Linked DNA regions of Astyanax mexicanus. The protein of the gene in region 1 interacts with the protein of each later gene in a biochemical or structural test. Links are inferred from orthologs where the notes say so. Each region holds a gene or a part of one and is shown in the gene's direction. Other genes may lie near its edges.

Region 1 (12,738 bases):
TATTTAAATCCTTCATATTAGATCAGTTTCACTCAAACCTTAAACCTTTTAACGTTATGGCTGATTGGTGCATCTTGTAAAAAAATGTTTATATCTATTTAATAGTTATAATAGTTTTAGGGTTTTGTTAAACCTCTAAAATACAGAATCGAAAGATTTAATGCAGGGTTTGGGCGATATGGCCAACATTTATATCACAATATATTTTTTATAATTTCAGTCTGATATTAATTTGAACAGTATGAAAGCCACAGGTAAACTGGAAAAAATAAAAATACCGGCCATAACGGATGCCCTATAATGAAGGTCGGTCAGTGAATGATGCTATAAATAATATGTAACAGTATGTATAAATATCAGAAAAGTTAAAAAAAAAAAAAAATAAAATGTAATAAAATTCAGTAAAATGAATTAATATTAAAACAGATTATATAACAATCTATATTGATACTGAATTACTGTCCAGCCCTAAGGTTTGGTCAATGTTACCGTAAATAAATAAAAGCTACATTAAGAGCTCACTAGCTAGTCATGTTTGCATATTCAAGTTTTTTTTTTCCAAAGTTTAAAAGGTTCAAAGTTCTAAAAGTTCCTACAGCTATTTTGCTTAAATTAGCTTTACATTTAAATTCAAATTACCAACAAAGTACCCATCAAACTCAAGAATACTTCATGTCATTGAAAGAAATAGAAGAAATCAGTAACAGAATACAAAACAGAATACAATTGATGATACAGAATTATAAGCACACTCTTTAAAACAAAGTAAAAAATATATATAAATTAAGAGCTGGCGCAAAGGGTTCTTTTGATAGGTGGCACAGAAGAACCAGGATTAAAAACATATTAACATAACGTAAAATACATTAAATGTACCATTTTGAAGGGTTTTTCTGAAACCTTTGGGCCTCTGGACTTTTTTAACCTTTACCTTTTCGCTTAACCTTCAATAATTAATAATAAATAATAATTCTTCATGCATTCCATTTACAAAAACTACTTTCTAAAGCAAAGCTTCTCATACCTTTTACAGTCAGGAACTCGTTTTTATTACATAGATTTTTCATTAAGTGATAAACCCTAGAAACCACCTGAGATACAATAGTAACCATCTAGTAACGCAAGTGAAACATCCTGAAACCTGGGATACAGTAATAAAAAACTGCCTGGAACAAGTTGTTTCTTTTGGTTCTTATTCAACCAAACTTGATATGGGTTCCAAAAAAGAAAAGAAAAAAAGAAAATGCAGAACCTCTAGCTACATATCATGGACCCAACTTTGCTCTGAAAACCACGGTTCTAAAGAAAAACCTTTCAAAGGGTATTTAGTGGTTTAAGGCCACTTTCACACCTACCTTGTTTGGGCCGAACCAACAGAGCAGGTGTGAAAGAGCAGGTGCCAAGAACCACCCAAATTTGGTCTTACCAAACACTGATCGTTTTGAAGAATGTAGTAAGTTCGGTTCTTTTTTTTCCAGGTGTTGTGTTCTGCCTCACTTTGAGTGCTGGCACATCCTGTAGTAGGGTTAATAATCTAGTTACAGTAGATACAGAAATCACCAGCATCATCTGTTGTACTCAAATTATTCTATTATTTAATGGGTGACAATAGCCTCACTGTCTCACTGCCAACAAACTGGACCATCAATCAATTGATTCGCCTCTTTGAATCTCCAGAACATGGTTTATAGAACCTTTCACAGCTTCTATTTGGGTTTTGACCAAAAAGAAAAATCTGAGCTGTCGGATTGTGGCAAAGAAGCAAAATTTGGCAGAACATCTGCAAAGACAACTGGCCAAATTGACAAAAAAAATGCTGCTGTGTGACATTTATTTTCCTTCTACAAACCAATCAATGTCATGTATAGGGAGACTCAGGTTCTTTGCCCATGTAGGGGATGACAACAAGACATGTCAAGGTGTTTTTTGTTGGGTTCAGCCACTAGACACAGTGTGAAACCAAAACTAATTGCGAAAAGAGCAAATTAACCTTGGTTTAGACTTTGGTCTGGACCTTTAGGTTTGGAAACCTAAATCGCTCTGCACTTACACTGGCAAAACAGTGGTCATCAAAAAAAAGGTGGAGATATGGAAGTTTAAATACGATACTCAGCAAACCGAACACAGTTGATGAAGTCTGTGTTGCTGTGATGCGAAGATGTTTCTGGGGAGGTACATGTTAGGGGGCAGCGTAGGGTTGACGGAGAGTCATAAATTGGCCTTAAAAAGTGGCTCTCCTAAGGCAAAGCATTAAGATCTCTTGAATTTAATATTAAGAATGTAGTGTAACTATATCTAAAATTCTACAATAGAGGAAGATAAAAACTAAACATCTCCAACATGCCTCCCGCTACTCAATCTGCTCAGTCTGCTCCATCAGATGAGCTTTAACGTGTCTGTTACACGCGCTCCGGTCGCTGTAGCGCTTCCCGCAGGTGGGGCAGCTGTAGGGCTTTTCTCCGGTATGAATCCGGAGATGAACGCTGAGGTGGCTGGATTGTCGGAAGTTCTTATCGCAGAAATGGCAGTTATACGGTTTCTCTCCTGAGTGAACCCTCAGGTGAATCTTCAGCAGAGCTCGTGAAGTGAAGGTCCGCCCACACACCACGCACAGATTACCGTCCGATAGGCCCAGGGCTTTCGCTTGACTTCCGTACATTTCCAGCGATTCCGGGTCGAACTGCTTCATCTCCTTGCTCATGTTCCCCGAGCCCGGCAGGAATTCTACATCACAGAAAGGAAAACAACTTCAGCACAGTGGCAATAAAACGGACACTTTTTCTTTCACACTTAGCCAAAAGAAAAACATAAATGTAAATGTAAAAACAAGCATTCTTCCTGAATATATCCAATTGTTAGAAACTTGTCACATTTTTTAAACACATGCCCATATTTTTTTTCTCTCTTTGTCACTTGCATTTGTCTGATGTCACTTGTATTTATTAGTCATGTTCAAAAAATATTAATATATTTGGAAATATTCAAATTTCAATATGGTGCTATGATTGGTTTGATAGTGGTTTGAACCCAGGTCATGCTGCTTGCCATCAGCAGCCAGAGTCTGAGAGAGCACAAAAATGTTCTCTCCCCTCATCTCCACCAAGGTGATGTCTGTTAGCTGATGTAATGGAGCTGGGTTGCTGTGCTTTCCTCATGCATGCTGGGTACCCAATATTGCTACATCAATGGCAGTTGGAAAGGAGGCGGTGGCTGATTTCACATGTATTAAAGGAAGCATGTGCTAGTCTTCACCCTACTAGTGTTGGAAGCTGTACTAGTGATAGGACTAGTGAGTAGGTTGGGTAATTGGCCTGCCAAACCAACACTTCATAGCATTTTTACCTTTTAGCTTAAGTGTGTAGTATACATTTTGTTTTAAAAGAGCCAATAACAAAGTTTTATTACAAAAAATCTTCTTTGGCTTTACTCCGAGAACCTTTTTGTGTAACATATTTTTACACAAAAAAATGAACAAAACATGCAACTTAGCCAGGGTTTCCTAAACATAACATGCCTGTATCTGCTGATACTGATATGATTACAGCATTATTTTACTTACGTGTTGGCAGGCTTTCGTCTTCGTCCAGGACCACCACCACGTCCGGACTTGCGTCCTTTTTTCTCAGTGCTCTCGGATTATCAGTCCTCATCTCCAGTTTCCGTTCTCGTCCAAGTCTCGGAAGTTTGTTTATTCCGCGAGCACGTTTCATATGCGATCTAAAATCAACATTTGGTAAAACTCATTAAAATCTGTTGCATTAACACACATTTATTAAAATTTGACGAGAGCAGTTCCGGTAAAACTGTAACCCTTTAACTGCCACTCTTAGTATTGACACTTATATTATACTAGCCCAGGAGTCGCTGCACAGTAAAACAATGCACCACCTTTTATGTAATTAAAAAAATATATATATTTTGCTGCATCCCAAGAAGAAAGGCATATTTGGCAACCCTTAAACTACCAATCTCAGGGATTTAAATGTATAATTCAGTAAAAAAATATCTTAACCAGTTTACAGTGAATGGCTGAAGTTGTAGCACATTTTTGAACAGAGGACTAATGATGAGATATGGTTCAACAAAACCAAGTTTATTGCATTTTTACGCTACAAAATTGAATGCAAACAAAACATGGTAGACAAATAGACAGGTATGTGTAACATCACCCACATATGCAACTAGATAGCTGCTGTCAGCATACAGAAATGTACATACAATAAGCATGGAGAGCACAATATTTCCCAAAAAACTGGTTGCCGTATGATATGTAGCTCCGCCCATCTCTAAATGTTTCAGTGGCAACAGCCCCTCCCATTTTCCATCACATTTTTTCCTCTAAACTGTCTTTTCATCTCCATTGTTTATGACAGTTGGGTCTGGGACAAAGGGGCGGGCCTACCAAATGAGTAGGCGGGTCTGGCTCCGCCTCTGGTCTCTACTGGGCAGACTCTGGTAGCAAAACCGACAAACATGGAGGACATTTCTGGAATCATTTTTATAAAATGAAATATGACAATGAGGTTATAAATATTTAAATACATTTATGTAGGACAACAAAAAAGATGGTCACACAATGAGTAAAATAACATGACGAGCTGTTTCCTAGCATTTCCATAAATTAATAAAGAATTAAAGTTTACAAAACTATAGACCTACCCATGCCATATTTGTTTAATTATCATCTTTGCTAGGATAACTAAACTATATTGCCAAAAATATTCACTTAGAACACACACAAACTTTAATAATCTTTAGGGTTTAACATAATGTTGGCCCACCCTTTGCAGCTGTAACAGCTTAAACTTTTCTGAAAAGGCTTTTCACAAGGTTTTGGAGTGTGTTTATGAGAATTATAGACCATTCTTTCAGAAGCGGTTTTGTGAAGCAGATACTGATGTTGGACGAGAAGGTCAGCCACTCAGTCTTCGCATTAACTCATTCCAAAGGTGTTTTATCCGGTTAAGTGCAGGACTGGAACAGGAATGGGCCAACACCAAACTGTCTGCACTTATCTCTTGGTCTTTTGAAGCAATTAGGAGTTCCTTTCTATTGAACTAAGGTGCCGAGCCTAAATACTGACAAATAACGCTATACCATAATCCCCCCCCCAACCAAACTTTACACTTAGCACAATGCAGACAATTTAGACAAGTACTGTTCCCCTGGCAACCACCAAACCCAGACTCGTCAGACGGAGTGTGATTTGTCACTTCAGAGACCAGTGTCGGCATGCTTTACATCAGTGTCCAATGCTTTGCACTGCATCTTGTTTGGTGATGTAAGGCTTGGATGCAGCAGCTTGGCCATGGATTTTTTTAAATAAAGCTCTCTACGCTGTACTGTTCTTGAGCTAATTTAAAGGCCAGTTCAAAGGTCTGTAGTGATTGAGAGAGAGTGCAAAATGTTGGTGACCTGTGCAACCACTGACCCTGCTCTGTCATTTACATGGAATTTACATCACTGACAGGTGACTGTGAAATATTTGATAGTGAAGAAATTTTACGATTGGAATATCACAGCACCATGCTGAAATTCAGTGAGCTCTTGAGAGTGACCCATAGGCAGAGTTATATGTTTGGCAATATAGTCTATCTAGTAACTACCGCAGTTTCTATTTTGCAGATACCATAATCCATATAGTCATAAGATACACTGAATTAAAAAGTGATATATTACTGCATATGATTACCTCATTTCAGCCGTCTTTTTAAGGGTGGGCTTCTGAACCAAGCAATCAGTCCCAGAAGACAGAGCTGATTAACTGGAGGCCCTGAAAGATTTTCCCCTCAAACTAACTGTAAAACAAACAGAAAATAAATTAATTATATATAGTTGACAATAATGTATTAAATTACATAAATTATTTTGCTTATTATAAACAGCATTTCTACCTGCAAACATTGTTAAAATAATCAGGCTGATCAATTCTGATCTGGCGAGCCTGTGTACTCACAGCTTGGCGATATATTTTCACTAAATGTATTAATTCATAAATTAATTAATTGAATTAGGTGAATTAATGACTTAGAGCAGGAAAATAGCGAAACTGTGGTGAACTAAAGCCCATTTCACACATGCATAATCAGGCACAAGTGCTTTGTGTGTGTCTGGAATGGAAATTTGAGCTACAAGTGTTTTTTTTGTCTGTATATTTCTTAATTATCCTTTATATGTGTGTTTTGTTTTCAGCATTGGTTGGTAAATAGCTTTCTGCTCTGGGACAGAAAATTACCAGGCTGAAGTGACTGAAATGCCCAAATTTGCCCATGGTGACGTGCGTCACAGACTCTTTAAAAGGTATGTAAAGTTGCCTACAGCACACTGTCCGCCATCTCAACTCATGGAGTTCCTAAGTGAAATGTACTGAACATCCTTAGAGCATCTGTGATTCTTCATGTGAGCTTATTTACAGAATGTAGGAGTGCTGGTTTAGTGCTGGAGATAAAACTACATTAGCTAATTTGTGTGTAAAATGTATTTTATGCTTCTTCAGGTCTGTTTTAAAACATTAAGCACATCAAATGCTTTAATTAAACGGTTAAATTCCTTAGAATTAGTTATGATCTTCTATATAACTTGTTCCTAGAGCTCTGGATTCCTAGAAAAAAGGTTTAAATGCAAGTTACTGCATTTCTGTGTCATTTATATTTATATATTTTAGGATTTTAATCTAAGATTTTAATAGACACTCACAGCACCCGTGAATTGGACTTTAAAAAGGCTCTCTAGACTTGTATCTGGTGACTCCTGCTCTTTTCACTAAGCTGCTGTTTTTTTTCCACTACTCAGACCAGGTTTTTATTTTTCCTGTCTAACCCGTGACACCCGAGTAAATGTGTAAAGATCATATTTTATGGACAAAAGTATTGGGACAGCTACTTATTATTCATTGTTTCTTCTGAAATCAAGGGTATTAAAGAGTATACTGTATATTGCTTTTGCTGGAGTGACTACTCTACTATCCATACTTTACTATATTCACATTAACAGAAAGCATTAAATAATTAACAAAACAAAACAAGAGTGGTATCTTACATGTGTTGTCTGTACGCGGCAGGGGGCGGACCTCACAGCTGCCTCCTCAGCTGATACCGATGATGTTTGATGACACAATCAGAACCGTGCTGTATGCAATAAGTTTACACTCCACAGCGCATTTAACTTTATATTAAGGTAGGGTTTAATTCAAAATGCAGAGCTGCAGCTAGTACATTGCTTGGAAAGTACAAAGCGGTCCCACTTTGATCACTTCCTAGTTTCCATAATCTACACTCTCAACAGGGGTTGGACAATAAAACTGAAACACCTGAGAACCGTCAGGTGTGGGAGTGGGAGGTTTCATGGCTAAATTGGAGCAGCTTGGTGGCCAATCTTCATTAACTGCACATTGCACCAGTAAGAGCAGAGTGTGAATGTTCAATTAGCAGGGTAAGAGCACAGTTCTGCTCAAAATATTGCAATACACACATCATTATGGGTGACATACCAGAGTTCAAAAGAGGACTAATTGTTGGTGCACGTCTTGCTGGCGCATCTGTGACCAAGACAGCATGTCTTTGTGATGTATCAAGAGCCACGGTATCCAGGGTAATGTCAGCATACCACCAAGAAGGACCAACCACATCCAACAGGATTAACTGTGGACGCTGTAAGAGGAAGCTGTCTGAAAGGGATGTTTGGGTGCTAACCCGGATTGTATCCAAAAAAATAATAATCCACGGCTGATCAAATCACGGCAGAATTTAATGTGCACCTCAACTCTCCTGTTTCCACCAGAACTGTCTGTAGGGACAATCAATTATTGTGGTCTAAAACCAGGTGTTTCAGTTTCATTGTCCAACCCCTGTATTTTTTCAGCTCGACTTAGCATACAGGACACTTTGTAGTTTTATAACTGCAGACTGTAGTCTATCTACATATATCTGTTTCTCCGCATACTTTATCCTCCTCCTTTCACCCTGTTCTTCAATGATTAGGACCTTCATCAGTAGTCACAGGACACTGTCCACAGGACAATGCCCAAAGCTTGCTGTTCTTGGACTATTCTCAGTCAGCAGTAAAACTGAGGTGTTTTACTGCAGTGCTGAGAGTGACTCACCATTTAAATAATATTTACTAATTTTATATAGCTGACTATTACTACTACAACAACAAAAAAAGAATAAGAGTGTTACCCTAACCCCCAGGGCAACAATGTTCCACAAAGCTACTGAAATCAGGGAAAATATTATTGATACTTTATTTAATCAGTAAATGCAGAATTAAAGACAAAATCACAACATGCAACAATGCAATGTAAAAGTCGCTGAAGGACACTTTATCCTGACATTCCATAGAATAGGAACTAGTAACGTCACCATCCATCCATGCATCCATCAGCTGCTTTCAGTGAAATTCGCAAATTCAACAAATTCAACAAAATTTGCAAATTCAACAAATTCGCAGACTGTATTAACTGGTCTTTACACAACACTGCAGTGCTGTGCGTAACAGTTTTGTTAATCAATAGACCTATGCTTCTTCTGTGTTGCACTGTTCATTAAAATCATTCTATACAGATTCCACTCATTTAGACAACTCAGAATTTTAGTTAAAAATGTCAGATTTAACAATCTCTGGGCTCGGACTTAACATGCACAGGATCCGGTAGGGTCGGACCTGACTACTGCTGGCTAGTGCTCAATTGTGTAGGTTTAGTGTCCTTTACCTGGCATCCAAAGTGAGGAGACGAAGCAGACAACTCTCTAAACTGAGTACAATATTCATTCTACACAAAATTTAACATAATCTGAATTTAAATTCAATACACAACAGAAATACAAAAGTGCCAAAATCTTCAAGTCACAACAACCACCCCTGTTTTACATTACAGAGTCAACACTAAATACAAACTGTGACTCTACTGCTAACAGCAAAAACAGAGTAAAGACAGAAGATGCGATTGCATTCAAAAGATTACCAAATCCAGTTCTACATTCAGTTAAGCGGCATATGAAACTTCACAAAGCAGTTGCTCTGCCTGGTGAAACAAAGGTGTACATTACATTTCATGCACAGAACTCTGGGTATGCCTTTGCATCCAGGAAATTTGCATCTTCCTTTCTTGCCACTCATGGTCGGCCAGTGTGACGTACAGTCCAGGCGAACGTCCGAGCACCGGGCAGACGCCGGGCATCGACTGTGCTCTATTTGGGTATTGTCTATGTGCTCATTTCCTTCCAATTCATCCCAATTTTGCCTGTAGAGGAATCAGCATGTCACCAGATTCTCCTAATTATAGCAAAGTTTATTAACTCTACCAAATGCTCAGCACAGACAGTCCGGGACAGAGTTGAACATTTATTGTTGACTAAGGCAAAGGAGCAAAAATAATGCATGTATTGCAGCAAAAGTTGGCTAGCAGTTTTGTTATGTTTCAAGCAGGTATGTAAATGATTACAAGTGCAGTCCGAGTCTCAGAAATTACTTTTAGGTAGTATACCTCTTGGTAAAAGATCCAACTGTGTTTAATCTTGTATCCAGACTAGAGGCGGAGCAACATTTACATACATACTATACTGCCAAAAGTATTCGCTTGCCTGTAATGTGTTTGGTGATTGACCTTTTTTTTTTTTTTTTTTTTTTACTTCCGTGTAATATGCCCCTCAGCATCTGCTGACCCCACTCTCTACATGAAGCCTCTAGTACCACATACAGTGGTAATTTATAACTAAATTGTAGGGCTGGGTATCATCAGTGATTTACAAAATCGATTCAGATTCACAAGGCCCCAATTCGATTCAATTTCTGATTTAATTTGAATCGTTTTATTATTGATTCGTTTGGAAATATTTCCATTACAATTACAGGTTTTGTTCAGACATGAAAGAGATTTTTTGAGAACTAAAGTTGTAATTGTACAACTATTATTAAACACATTATTGTTTTCATAAAGAATTAAACCAAGACAGTACCTTAATGTACCTTAAATGTCTCATTGAAGGTGGAAAGGAAAACAAAGGAAAATGCTAATTCGTTTAACTACTCTAACAAGCTCTATTAACATTGGTTCCGAGAAACAATACAACTTGTTAGCTACTCTAAAACTACAGCATGTCTAAACCTGCCTCATTTAAGGTGGAAAGGAAAACTCGCATTTACCGACTCCTCAAATTGCTAGTCAAGCAGGCTCTAATAAAATAACGTGAGAGAAACAACAAAACTTGTCGCTAATGTTAGCTTGGCATCTGTAAATCTGCATGTTTTAAAACTGCTGGTCTAAACAGGCCACATTTAAGGTGGAATGGAAAACTAAGGAAAAGGCTTACATATTTAACTAGTCTAGAATGCTCTGGTAACATAGACTGAGAGAAAACATAAAACTTTCTGCTAACGTTAGCTTAGCCTCTTTAAAATTACAGCATGTCTTACAACTACTGGTTTAGACCTGCCTTATTTAACGTGGAATGGAAATCTCAGGAAAATGCTAACTCGTTTAACTAGTCTAGAAGTTTCTGGTAATATTGACTGAGAGGAAACAAAACTTGTCGCTAACGTTAGCTTAGTGTCTGTAAATCTGGAGCATGTTTTAAAACTGCTGGTCTAGAAGGGCCACATTTAAGGTAGAATGGAAAACTCAGGAAAATGCTGACTCATTTTAGAAGGCTCTGAGAGTGAGTGAGAGAACACATAAAACTTGGCACTAACTAACTAACTTCTGTAAAACTACACCATGTTTTAAAAATGCTGTGCCAGACCGGCAGTATTTAAGGTGGAATAGAAAATGCTAACTTGTTAAAACTAGTCTAGAAGGCTCTGGTAACACTGAGTGGGAGAAAACATAAAACTTGCCGCTAAAATTAGCTTAGCTTCTCTAAAACTACAGCATGTCTTGAAACTACTGGTTTAGACCTGCCTCATTTAAGGTGGAAAGGTAAATTCACATTTATTAACACCTCGATTAACTAGTCGAGCAGGCTCAAGTAACATTGAATGAGAGAACAATAAAACTTAGCGCTGACGTTAGCTTAGCTTCTGTAAAACTACGCTGTATTTTAAAACTGCTGGTCAAGACCGGCTGCATTTAAGGTGGAATGGAAAACTCTTGCTTGTTTGTTAAATCCAAGTGAAATATCAGAAATTTACTCACACATATTGTTTACTAGTCTAGTAGAGTAAATTACTTTAAGTGAGAAAAAAAATTTAACTTTTAGATAGCGTTAGCTTAGCTTTTTTTTAACACTACAGCATGTTTTAGAGCTGCTGGTCTGAAACAGCTAGCTCCAGCTCTGCAGATAGATGACATTTACACAGCTGACATTATTGTAATCCCAGTAATTTAACACTTACTAATCAGGTATTACAAAAATGTTTATTGCGAGAATTTTGCTCACAAAGTTACAATATCATGTTCAAGCTAAAGTGGCACCAAGTGGCACAGTAATACTGGCCATACTGGAAAAGATAACAGCTTTATGATCAAAAAACACATCATATCATTTTGATGTCCTGTTTAATCTCTGTAAAATATCCTGTAATTACATCAAATATACCAGTTCAATCAAACAGATCCTTCTTTACAAAAAACTGTGCGAATGTAAACATGAACTAGAAAAACGAGTGGACAGTTAAAGGGTTAAATTTAGTAAAAGTGCAAAACTTACCTCTCTCTCCATTGGCTGAAATTATTATCCTGACCCACTGCATCGAAACTGCCGAATCTCCTGTGACGGGCATATCTCGCTCGACCAGACAATGGAAGCTGTGGTGAGAAAAGAAATAAAAATAAATGTATTGCCGTTTTACTACAATGACAGAAAAGACAATTATCTTTTAAAAATAATAATAAAATAATTGTTATTGTTTCTGTTCACTTAGAAGCACTTAAACACTTTCAGTAGTCCAAACACACACACACTTTTATAAATAACAGACATCTAATCAATAGTCCAATATGTATTCTGCTGACCTTCCAAATGTAAATATGTGCTTTGTAAGTCTTAAATTGTAGTTACTAGAAAACTGCACCATACAATATAAAAATATCTTAACCATTCAGTCCAATTCAGGGCTACAGTGGTGTGTGTTTTTAAATAAATCCTAAATGAAAAATATCAGAGCAACACTAATATCTACAATTATTAAATAAATAAATGTATCAAAAATAAAATATATAGATTATATAACTTTTCTCCGACAATGAAACAGAATCAGCTCCTGTGAAAATGGCATTCACTTCAGGGCATCATGTACACTTAGTTCTGTTCAAACAGTGCTTAACACAATGATGTTTGCTTAATTTTTTTTAATAAAGAAGAAAAGCATCAGAGTACAAAATATAGATTCGTTTACTGCAGACAAAATGCGGGCATAAAAAAAGTGAAGATTAAAGTTCTACACAGTTCACATTAAAGTCAGTAAAACCTTACAGAACTAAAGAAATCTAAATAAAACAGTAATCATTTCAAAACAAATTATTTAAGTGATTTAAAATAATAAAGGGAAAAAACAATGCCCATAAAAACGACAAACAAATTTTACTTACTTAGAAACAGACCTCTAACATGTATGTAACATGTATGTAACTAAATATATACATATTAGGGGTGTGTGTCACAGGGTACGATAGTATCGCGATATTTTGTCCACGATAACAATGATCTCATGATACTGTAATTCTCGATATATCACAACAATTCCTTACAGTACTTTACAGTATCTGTGTTACAGAAAAGGATAAAATACTACTAAATAAAC
Region 2 (12,851 bases), on another chromosome or scaffold:
TTACAGCACATGCTCTCCATTCCCCAGCCTGTTATTGGATAAACTTATTATTAACAGTTAACCCCAGTATCATAACCACTTATTGACACAACATTTATATACTGTCACAGTTGGTTTAAATATCATAGTTTTACAGTGATGAAAGCTCAATAAACTGAAAACAGAAACAATAAATTGTGGACCTTATGCACACTTTAGCCATTCTTTTCTTTTGAAAACTAAATTAGTCTTTAAGACTGCACTTTTACAAACAGTTCAATCGTCAGATAGGTAGATAGGTTTGGTAGAGCATTTTGCCTAAATTGGAAGCCATATGTACTAATAAAACGACCATATTTACTAGGGGTGGGAATCTTTTACTATCTCACGATTCGATTCGATTCCGATTTTGGGGGCCACGATTCGATTCAAAATCGATTTTTGATTCAAAACGATTTGATTTATAAAAATTTATTGAAAACTTATTGAAAAAAAAGCCTCCAAAATATACACTGGTCCTGGAGAAGGTAATGTGTTACAAAAACAATAAAATGTGCAGGAATGTGGGTCCTCAGTGACAGAGGAATCACTGGGATATCACAATGACGTTAATGAACAATAAATAAATAATAAATAACACTGCTTTATTACCAGGCTACTAGCGGTGGTGTGTAGGTGACGCTGCTGGGCTGATGTGATGATAGCAGTGGAGCGCTAAAGTTCAGGAGCAGCTGCTGATTAACTAGTTAATTTTAGGCCGTTGTATTTCTTCAGAAAGGGGGCAGGAGGTGGAGAAATTAATTCATATTGTCCATTCCTTAATTCCTCTGTGATGAGGAGCTGAAATTAGCTCTGATTAGCTTATTGTTATTTTTCCGTTCCGCCTTAAATGCTGCAGCCCGCTGCCACCTGTAGCGTTATTTAAGGTGGAACTGGAAAGTTAGCTAGTTAGCTAGCTAACAGAAACTGAAACTAACTACTAGCGATCTTTTTTATGCTTGTTATGAAGCATTCTGCCATAAAACATTAAAACTACACGTTAATCTAAGGTAATATAGTGCTTGTTCTGCCATCTTACCGGTGATTCTCATACACCTACGCTCTGTGTGGGTCTGACGGTAAGTTCAAACTGCAGCGGCCACGGTCGCTTTGGGCAGTGGGAGGCGGAGCGAAAAACGCTTCGTGCCGCTGCAGTGTGAACTTACCGTGAGGGGTAGGGCCAAGGGAAGAAATGGGATTGGACCTTAGAATCGATTTTGGGACATTTTAAATCGATTCTGAATCGTAGTAAATGAGAATCAAGATTCTTATGTGAATCGATTTTTTGGCACACCTCTAATATTTACAGACTATAAAGTGCAATGTAGTCACACTATCAATGAACGTCTATTTTCAAGCAGAAGGCTTAAAAAAATTAAGTAACAATAGTAAGGAACAAGAGTTCCGCCATGTTTCCCTTCCAACGTAAACAAAACTTTAATTCTTAGAGAAAAAAAAACAACAAAAAAAATGCGCTGGATGTTGGGTGAGTAAAGCGCTTCCGTTTATTTACAATATTTTCAACAGCAGGGTTAGCAGCAGCGCTTAGCGCTAGTAAATGCCGCCTGACAGCGCTACACTGAGGAACACCGAGTGTTCCGGTAACCCAGGGCACTCTTAGCTAGCGGTTTGTTCCATGGAGCTTGTTTTAACACAGTAAACACGCAGACTACAGTCCGATACTACCCTATGAACAGTGAAAGAGCTAGCGCGGCTGTTAGCCGCTAATGCTAATACTGCTCCAGCCTTAGTGCTGGAGAATAACTTCACTGAAACTCCTGTATAACTCTGTACTTCAGCATAGTGGCTTTACTTACTCCTTCCCTGAACCCAACTGGTAGAATTTATACACAAGGCGCACTGTTTAGGGTTTTAGGATTTCAAGGATATTAAGTACGCCTAATGCGAATAATATGGTAATTAAATTGTTACAACCCTTTAATTTATCCATGTTTCTGTGTTACACCCACGCAATAATATCACGAGCTGTGTCTGTTCTTTATGCTGGATAGTTACTTAGTTCAGTAGCGACGTCGTCCAGGCAGATGTCGTTGTTGATGGCTGGATTCGGGTAGTCTGGGTATCGAGCCAGAAACTTGTGGCAAAGCAAACCGAGACTCTTCTCCTTCCGGCTGAGATGCAGCTTCTCTGATTCCTCACCCAGCTCGGGCTCCTGTGTGGACAAAATACACACCTTTAACATCCACACCCAAAATAAAACGCAGTGTCAGGGAGACATTATCATATCCTCTCTTTACCTGTTACACAGGCTGGATTCTAGAGTTAAGCTAAAGTCTAAACCAGGGGTTCAGAGTTTACTGAACTTTTACTTTACTAAACTTATATATGAATATATTTGACTAACAATGAGACAATAAATACCAGAGTAATAAATAAAGTTATTTAGCTTTTGTAAAACGTGACCTAAAACAAGGTCACAAATGATTTAAAGAGTTGAAATAGAGCTACTATACATTACTCATCTTATGCGTTACTTCTCTTATGATCTTTAATGTGCCACACGGCGCTGAAGATGCAAAACTGTGGCAGAATTGTAATTGTGTAGGAAATATAGTCATATAAAAATAAAGTTTAGTTTAGTAAAAGTGAACTTCAGCAAAGATTTTAATATAAAATATAGGCTGGGGAGTTTCGATGGGATCATGAAGTGTTTAGAATCCTAAAAAAGGGGTCTCACAGTAAAGAAAGATTAACAACCTCTAATCTAAACAAAGACATCCTGCCCTGTGAAATACCCTCCAGGACTAAGTTTAATAAACAAGGCTTTAGAAGACAGGTTAGAAATGGTTGAAGTACCTGAGAAGAGCATTCTGTTTCGTCTGCCTTTATGTTGTCTGCACTTCTTTCCTTCTCACGGTTACGTATCTCGGGGCTAGCCGCACTGATCAGCATCTTTAGATTAGAAGTAGGGGTCCAGGGCTCCCCTGTAGGAGCGTCCGGGCCTTTAGTGGGCGTTGTTAGGGGACCCATTATTTTCAGATTTTCCAGAGGGGCAGATTTCCCCGAGGTTTTCCCGGGTGTCTGCGGTTCCACAAACACACCCGTTTTCTGTAAATAATGAAGCCAGAGTTCGGTTGTTAGTGCACAATAACAATAACGGAATTTTTAATGCAGACTGGCTGGTTTATACAATAAAAAGTAAGGGCAGGGCTGCATACTGTAGGCTAAAATGAAGATAACAATCAGATAACTAAACATTTAGCTCAATATTAAATAACTGCCTGAACTATTATCAAATAGAAATATATCTTTAATCAGGGGTTGATATTTCACAGTTATCCCATTATATAAAATAAACAGTCAGAACAATTCTGTTACTATAAATTAAAACTTGGTATGTTTAATGTTTCAAGTAAGTATGAAGGAGACTTTATTGCCATGTACATCACATGCGGAACATGGGGTGGAACAAAATTGCTTTCTCAAGGTCCGGTTTTCCCACAACAGAGCAGTTATTATGAAGAATATAATAAAATATAATAAAGAAAAGCAAATATGAAGTAAAGAATAAATTAGAAAAATAGTTTTTAAAAAGTGTGTACCATTATTACTTTTTTCCCATTTAATATAGTAAAGAACAAATGAGTTTTGACTAAATTGTATTTTTTTTTTCTTTTCTGGAATAATTTTCAGGAACAGTTAAATCATTTATTTTCTTTAGATTTTCTATTTTTTCCTCTTTTGCAGAATATTAACCTGATAATTATTACACTGACCCACGAATGATGGAGATGTTACATAAAAGTACACAATATTTATCTAAAGAGTGTGGATTTACAAAAGTGATGATTTTTGACTAAGGGAATGTTCTTTCCTTCCACAAACTCTGAATATAATTCTCTTCACACACAGTCACTATACACAGCCATTAGCAGCTCATCAGCTCATTTACTGACCTTCTCATTAGCTGCTGCTGATTTGTTGGGGCTCGTTTGGGGGAGCTGGGTTAAGTGCTGGCCGTTTAGTAAGGTGCTGGACATTTTCCACCTACGTGTGTTGAGAAAGAAGAATTGATCGTTAGGAAAAATACTAGTATTAATCACTTATAACTAACATATCAGTGCCATTATTAGCAAATCTGAGATTTTAAATAGAACAGGGAAGATAACTGTATGAGTTATCTAGGTTACAAACAAGAAATACCTTTTTTTTACAGCGTTATATAACCTGGGAGAAAGCATCGTGCACCCCTATGAGAACTGAATTAGTTCAGGTTTATTAAAATCTTATATAAAACTGTTTGTATTTTTCGTAAATCAAAGTTATTTTGATTTCAAATGACCGGGAGCCGACTGGCGCTAACTGACACCCGATCCGACGAATCACGCAGCAGCACTACGCGGATGCACACGCCCTTCCACTACAATCAGCCAATTGCTGACAGGGCACGGACACGTGAGCCCGCCCCCCGCGAAGAAGCCAGCCAATAGGTGCGCGACAAAGGGCGGGTTTTCGGACAGTCGCGCGCAGGCTCTCACCTTTTTAAAATCTTGGCGCGGAATTTCGCAATCGGAACGGAAGAAGATATTAGCGGCTAAAAACAGCATAAAACAACTAAACTAAAGCATATATTGGCGCAGATTAGATTGTACTGCTAATAAACTCGATATTTAACAAGAAATAAGCGCTTAAACTGTATTAATTTGTACAAAAACTAGTGGTTTGGAGCCTCGCAGAGCGCAGGACACCAGAAACACAGCAGCTCAAAACCAGGATAATAAATACCTGCAGATAAGTTCCGTACAGATCTAAAGTTACTTAACTAACTGCTGAGCTAGTCAACTAAAACTCTACTAAATATAACATAGCTTACGTAACTTACACTGCGGTATGTTTATTATTAACCAGGTATAAATATCGAAACGAACTGCTAGCGTTAACCTAGCTGAGTTTTTATTAAACACAGAGAGGCGGTAACTTTTATAATGTTAAAATAGCTTTAAAACGCTGGATCCTACAGCAACAGCCAGCAAGTTCACTGATAAACTAGTTATTACTGAGTAGTGAAGCTAGCTAACGCTATCTAGGTTAGCTAGTAAGTAGTTAACGTAGTTGTTTAACGTTACTCCGCAAATGTAATCTAACCCAGCTAGTTAGCTAGCTTTACGTAGTTAGGTTAAATAAAACTTTGTGTTCATTCTGTGTTACACAGATAGCTTAAATAGCCTTACTAGCTAACTAATTATAAGTTACTCCCTTCTGTAAAAGCATTCATAGGCTAGCTATGGGTGACTATAAAGCTCTTTAGTATGTTTTATATATAAACTAGCTCGCTAGCTTATTAGGTTAACATACCTGAGTCAGCAGTAGACTGTACAGGAGAAACGGTCCGACCAGAATGCAGGAAAGAAGGCAAATTAATCCATAAGAACGGCAGATAGATTCCACCTCTTGTAGATTTAGCTCAAATAATTTAGTGCAAGAATATCTCCGCAGATTCCACACAGGTAACTCAACCTACAGTATGTTAGATCAGTCCTCCAGCTGTGCTTCTCTGTACAGCGCTACAGTAAAGCTGGCTGTAAATAAATACGGATTTCTCCAGTTTTAGTGATTTTCCAGCGCGCTGAGGGTCCTGGTTCGGTTTTCCCGGGTATATGAAGGTCCTGGTTCGATTTTCCCGGGTATATGAAGGTCCTGGTTCGGTTTTCCCGGGTGTCTGTGTATATGTGCGCGCTCCTTTGCCCGCGTCCCGCTCTGAATTTGCCGGGCAGATCTGACCCGCCCATAACTCCGCCCACACCCCGCCCCCACACACGTACACGTACACCCAGAGGATAAAAGTACATATTTACTAAGTACATAAAGTTCTGAACAGGGTCGAGTGTTGTGTCCAGTTATGTCACATATCGATATGTGCTTCTTTTAATGCTTCCTCATGTTTTTAATGAATGTTAGTTATTATGCATACATTGTAAGTTAATTACATTTCTTTTTTGTGATATCAGTTACTTTGCACAATAATTTAACATTTCTTTGATAAAACAGGTTTATATTTACTCTACTATTATTTATTTTTTTATTGACCAAAATTATTGATTTGAAAATTAGCTGGAAAAAGACATTTCTACTAAATGAACAGCATTAAAGTTCAACACAGACAACACTGAGTTAGCAGCTCAGAACCTAATGCTGGTTTTAACAGCAGACAACTAGTAATACATACACATAATATATCATCTACACGTTTACATAAGGTAGCTTAGGGAATGGCTACACACAGCGTCAGAAACTGTGGTACACGCCCAGTTTGTATAAACATGGTGGCAGAACAGAAGTTGAATCAACTGAAGCTGCCACTGGCAACAGAATACATTCAGTTATTATAAAATAATTCAACTCATGTGAGTTATTGTGAATACATATGTGGCTGCGAATGTTTACCAAACTCAAAGTAGTTGAGCAATGTTTGTAAATATAAGTATGATATGACATAACACAGACTTACTTCATTTGAGCTCAAACAAACTGTGGGTTTATAGTGTAATAGTTAACTATATATCCTTTTAGGGTGTCGTCATTTTTTCTGTTTTCATAAAGTACAGTGCATCTTTAATCCAGTGTGTGGGAGCAGGAGCATTTTTCCCCCAATGCATCAAAATGAGCCACCTCGTTACACAAATTAAAATGCTACCAATGTGGATTTTTTTGTGTTTAGATAGAATGAAAGTAGCTGGAAGAACTCCTAACACTGTGAGGACTGGAGAGAGATCAATGTGCACTTGCAGTAAGTATAAAAGGGATATAAATATTGAGCTCTACCAGGATTTGTAATAAATAATTCCAGAACATATTAGAATGATATACAAATTGGGCGGGGCCTGATGGTATCTGTCACCATTGTAAATATTGAGATTTTTAATGTAATCTAAAGTAAAAATTGCTGTATGAGTAAAGGCTTCAGTACAGATGAGAGATATAACTGAGTATATTTTAGGAAGATGGCCTAATCTGTGTGTGTGTGTGTGTGTGTGTGTGTGTGTGCGTTCAGTGCTCTGAAAGATGAACATATATAAGAGAGGTCCCTGAGAGCCAGAGGCAGACAGAGAGCCAGGCCGAGCCTCTAGGGTGATTCTGGACCTCCTGTTCCGCTGGTCTGTAAGTACTGTAGTCACTGTTTGTGTAAATTTGACTGATTACTTTGATGTTTTAACAGTAAAGTTTATAAAATATAACATTAGTTGCTTAATTTCTCTCTTAGTTAGATTGTATTTGCCTATTTAGTACCATTGTATTTGGTACCTCTTTACACATGTATTCCTATTACTGTTTGTAGTCACTTTTTGATTGATTGACTGGAATTTTAAACAGATAAGAGTTATGTTTTAAATGTGAATAGCTTTAATTGCATTTACACTTAACTGTAATTAACCCTTTCAGACTCTGCATCCATTACAATCCATTACCCTCCATTTATGTTTTGTTGCACATAACACTATTTGAGAGCTGTTGTGCAACAGAATAGACCATGAACCAATAAAACAGTAAACCAATAAACCAATGAAATAGTAGCCTGGTAGTACTAGAGCCATTAAAGCAAAGTAGCTGCTAATTTAAATGGTTACTAATAATCATGTTTTATTTTTTACTGTTTAGGGATGGTTTATGAAACAAAATAGTTAATATGAAATACCAAATATTACACAATAGGATTTATTTGCTGTATAGATTTTATAGTAGAATATTAAATACTTATTTTCTGTGCACTACAGACAAAAACAGCATTCATACATTTTTACATCACTGGAGATAATTCAGGTCTGAAACCGTTCATATATTAAATAATACCAATAATATTATTGAATGTAATAATATGGATAGTTTAACTCTTAAGAGGTAAATTGTTCAATAGGTGATGATGACTGAAGCTCTAATCACCATCACACTCACTCAAACTCAGATATACTGAAACAGAGGCCAGATCTGTGAGTGTGTGTGTGTGTGTGTGTGTTTTTATCAGCAGTAGCTTCATTGAAGGAACTATTTCTGGATGATTATCAGCACATTCCACAGTGTTGAGGCAGAGAGCAGAAACTCTGACTCACAGTAACAACATAATATATATTTATATTTACAAGACAGCTAATGTCTTGTATTATATCAATCCATGAGTTAACAGTGGATTTCTGAGCTTTATTGATCCTGTCAGTACTGCATTCTAGGCAGGATATTTAATAAAAAATATTAGGTGAGCCATCAGTAATCTTTAGTAGAGTAGAAAAATGATAGATCATCATTTAACAGCAGTAAACAGGGATACGAATCGAGTGTGATTGCATTGATGATGGTAGAGTCTGACCACTGCACAAAGCAGCGCTTCTCCATCCAGCACATCCCAAAGATTCTCAATGAGGTTAAGATCTGGACTCTGTGGTGAACTCTCTCTCAATCCATGTGTGATAAATGATGATCTCCTGCTCCCTGAACCCTGAACTCTTTCACAATTCCAGCTGTATAAATCCTGATATTATCATCTTGGAATATGCTCGTGTTCATCAGGGAAGATAAAATCCATTGATGGAATAACCTGGTCTATATTCAGTATATTCAGGTAGAGTCAGCTGACCTCATTCTTTCAGCACATACTGTTACTGAACTCCAAATGGAGACTTTTTTTGGCCAGGCTCTGTTTTCATTTTACTGTTCTTGTGATGTTACCAAAAGGTTGTTGTAAATCAATTAGGATTAATTATCATAAATTAGGATTAATTCTCATTAAATGATAACGTTGTAGGTGTAGCTTATAGTTTATCATTATTTAAAACTGATTTAAAGTGATAAGATGAATAAATAAATACACTTCATTCATAATGTCTTACACCACATTTCACAAAGAAGTTCATGTAAATAAATCCTGCAGAGGATTATTTTTTTATGTTAATGCATACAGTGCTGTTATCTGAGGATGCTTTTATTTCTGTTCTGATTCCTGTAGATCTAGTCCCTGATCCGAGGATGCCGAACTGGGGCGGGGGTGCTAAGTGTGCAGCCTGTGAGAAAACCGTGTACCACGCTGAGGAAATCCAGTGTAATGGGCGGAGCTTCCACAAACCCTGCTTCATCTGCAGTGAGACACGAGTTCACCTTTTTATACAAGCTGTGATCCTACAAAATCCTGCATAGTCAGAGCTAGGAGTGGGAATCACAGGATATCTCAAGATACGATATTATCACAATACATTTCCCATCATAACGATGATATCACTATACTGTGTTTCTGTGATACTCAAATATTACACTTAAATATTACAGTACAATTCTCTACAATATTCCGTCTTACTGAATAAAATACTCCTACTGGATAAAATACTCCTAAATAATTAAATTCCAGGAATTATGGATTTATTGGTGTCAGTTTTTACAGAACTTGATAACGAATATGACACAATGCACAACAAAGTGCAGAGCTTAGCTTGCTCACATCTCTTTAACACACACACACACACAAACACACTCACACTGACCGCAACTGTTCCATGTCTAGGTATTGTTATTATTATTATTATTATTATTATTATTATTATTATTATTATTTAAACAAAAATACATTACTGCAAAAAAAACTCTTTATTTAAAACCAAAAATTATTAATACAAACTCTCACAGGATAAAGGAGAAAGAAGAGGAAGTCGGGCTGATGTGGAGAAGTTTATCTGCTTACAGTTAACACTAATTTAAATTCACTGCCTAGCAAAATAAAAAGCTCATCACCTGAATTTAACTAAGCAAATAGTCAAGAGTCTCCTATTGAATAATTACCGGTACTGCATGAGTGATTATGTTTCAGCTGGCAACAAGTTATTTAACCCCAAACTGATGCCGTGAGTAGCTTCTCATTTGGTAAACAACCATGTAAAAAGACTCATCCTGTTGTCATGGAAAAGATGGTATCTTGTTTTAGAAGGACCAAATTATTGAAGTCAAGCAGAGAAAACATTTAAGGAGATTGCTGCAACTAAAATATGGTTAAGAATTGTACAATATTTTATTACAAAGTGGAAGGAGAGTTGGGAAGAGATGTGGTGGAAAAAATTCTTGAATGATTGTTATTGGCGATCACTTAAACGTTTGATGAAATATATGTTATGATGATATGTCTGATATGTTTAATAGTGAAAGTAAGAGCAGGGCACGAGTTATGGGCAATTTGTAGGGGGGTCTAACCCTCTGATTAACAAGTAACCCCCCCTTGCAGCCTCAATCTTTTGTATGTACAGAACTTCATGTTGAACAGATATTAATATTGCCTATATGGACAGCAATTTAAAATCTGAGTTGGTAGATTTAATGCGGTTGAAAATTTGGGTGCAGCTACCCTTTGTGCTGGTGGGCCTAAGAAAAAAAGTTACGACCAGCTGCAACCAGTGCAAAAAAATATTCTAGACTCCACACTAGCACCTGCACTACTCATGTCACGTAGCTGCTATCTGTTGCTTCAGGTCACATAAATTCACTCACCTTAAATGCTGCTAAGGCGACACACACACAAAGAGTTTCAGGCTGAAGGTTTTTTTTAGAGATGTTTGAACCTAACATCTGATAAACAATAAGTAAGATTTCAGGTGTAGTTTCATTTGGACTGTTTGTAATTTCTGCACAAAAAAAGCAGAAATGTATAAAACTTTTAATGCACTTTACTACTTACACCTCACAGCTTTTTAAGGTGGAATTGGAATTGTTAACATGAAACAAAAAACTTGCCGTGAATCAGTACACACTGATTTATAACCTTAAACATAACATTTTTTTTGTTTGTTTGTTTGTTTGTAAAATTAAATTTTCAGGGCATGAAAACTACTGACAGACTTAGATTTTTGTCTGGCATTGGTCTTTAATGTAACATGTACAGGTATTGATTGTGTATGGTAGCAACCAATAGCATTGCTTGTGTTTTTGTGGGATTGATTAGCTGTTGAATTTGCTGTATAATATATTGTTTATGACAATAAACTTCAGCTTCAGTTTGCTAGAGATCATAAGGATTAGAGAGCATAAGAAATGGAAGAAGGATCTTGTGAAGGTCTGATGAGTCCAGACTGACCCTGTTTCAGAGTGATGGAGCATTAGGGTAAAAAGAGAGGCGGCTAAAGTGATGCACCCATCACGCCTAGTGCTCACCATACAATATTGGAATATGTGTGATATTTGTGTTTGGCCAGGCCGTATACTGGTATATTGATCATTTATTTGTAAGTAAAGGTTTCAGCTGCTGTCTGTGTAAATGTTGCGGTGGGGACTGACAGCCAAGAGGGTAAATGGGACTGTTGGGAACATCATACAACACTAAATCCCCTGCAGTTATGTTTGCTGTTCTTTGCTGTGGAGCATTTGGCACTGTGGGATTCAGTCGCTCAGCTGCCCTTAATCCCATCCAGCCCAAAATTAGCCACAGAAGCTAGCATAAAGTTCCCTGGCTAAGAGCAGGACAGCTGCAGGACACAGTGAGGTCATGTTTAAACTCCAGCATCTTCTGTCTGATACCAGCAGAGAGAGTCACTGTCCAGGTTAAATTAATTCCGGGTCAAATTAAACGTTCAGTTAAAGCACAAGTTCCAAAGGAATAAAAGGTAACGTACTCAATCAGAGAAGACACAACTAATAGGTGCAGCTTTACTCTGTGCACTGTGCTCCTCAGCTAACAGAGCAAGCTGTTGTTCCCAGTCTCTTCCGCTGTGTTATTATATCACAGTTGGCTGTGGAATATTTAGTAGTGAACAAATATTTCAGGACTGGACTTGTTGTTGAACAGGTGCTGCCTCCTATCACTGTACCACAGTTCTGGAGTTCACTGAGCTCCTGAGAGCCTGAGACCCATTCTTACATTAATGATTGCAGAAGCAGTCCCAGCATGCCTAGCTGCTGCTTTTATTATTATACACCTGTGATCATAGAAGTAATTAGAACCTGTGTTTAGAGTTTTAGATGGGTGAGAGAATATTTTGGTGTTATAGTGTATCTCTGTCTCTTGTTTACCACTTTACCATCAAAAGAGGATCTTAGTAATGATGTTCTTACTCTCCTGTGTTGTGCGTCTCAATATACCCCTGATAATTTGTTTGAAACCCTTAGCTGTGCCCAAACATTTAAAGGCCAGTGTATTTGTATGTAAATAAACAGCAGGTTTCAGCTGTTGACTATGTGATCGGTGTGGAGGGGACTGACAACTGAGAGTAACACAGGACCACTGGGAGCGCTACGCTATGTTAAATCCCCTGCAGTTAGCTTCCATTCAGGGCCCTGTAGCCATGGAGCATTTGGCACTGTGGGACTCGGTCTCTCAGCAGTACCAATCCCATCCAGCCCAAAATTAGCCTCAGAAGCTAGCCTTAAGTTCTCTGGCTGAGAGCAGGACAGCTGCAGGACACAGTAAGGTTATGTTTAAACTCCAGCATCTTCTGTCTGATACCATCAGAGAGAGTCACTGTCCGCCTGAGAGGATCATCTCTCACAAAGGCCAAAGGTCACTTTATAAAAAAAAAGGAGCACTGAATTATTTTGACAAAAAATTAAATCCCACCACTTTCTTCTCCATATTTTACTTCAAAAGGTAGTTAATCAGTTAAGACAAGTCTGAACTTCTGTATTCTGATTTTTCAGTAGTAGTTTTATTGACCTTTTTTCATTCTAAACATAATTTTATTTATTAATTCATTCATTTCACTCAGCGTTACGTTCAAGCGTTCACTTACACTAATGTATGTCTTGTCCCAGTAAATGGAACAATAAACGTTTTACAAATAAACTAAAATAAAAACTTTAATGCAAATATTAATATATCCCTTTTAACATGTTAGCAGGCTATTTAAAAAACA

Evidence for each region.
Region 2: the proteins of myog (region 1) and csrp3 form a complex in vitro, tested with the Homo sapiens proteins (2 studies listed by BioGRID and IntAct, with this or other methods). The link is inferred for Astyanax mexicanus from reciprocal best matches to the Homo sapiens genes MYOG and CSRP3.

What each region holds. Positions count from the first base shown.
Region 1 is NC_064431.1:20,021,920-20,034,657, forward strand, and holds the start of myog (myogenin), read left to right. Parts: upstream 1-6,192; 5' UTR 6,193-6,300; intron 6,301-7,038; exon of another isoform or gene 7,039-8,964; intron 8,965-12,271; exon of another isoform or gene 12,272-12,738. Other genes in the region: zinc finger protein 205-like, read right to left, coding at 2,351-2,724, 3,560-3,717, 5,693-5,697. UniProt on the Homo sapiens protein: Acts as a transcriptional activator that promotes transcription of muscle-specific target genes and plays a role in muscle differentiation, cell cycle exit and muscle atrophy.
Region 2 is NC_064423.1:340,969-353,819, forward strand, and holds the start of csrp3 (cysteine and glycine-rich protein 3), read left to right. Parts: upstream 1-6,660; 5' UTR 6,661-6,766; intron 6,767-7,030; 5' UTR 7,031-7,137; intron 7,138-8,974; 5' UTR 8,975-8,994; coding exon 8,995-9,106; intron 9,107-12,851. Other genes in the region: transcription factor E2F8, read right to left, coding at 2,035-2,191, 2,836-3,087, 3,936-4,019. UniProt on the Homo sapiens protein: Positive regulator of myogenesis. Acts as a cofactor for myogenic bHLH transcription factors such as MYOD1, and probably MYOG and MYF6.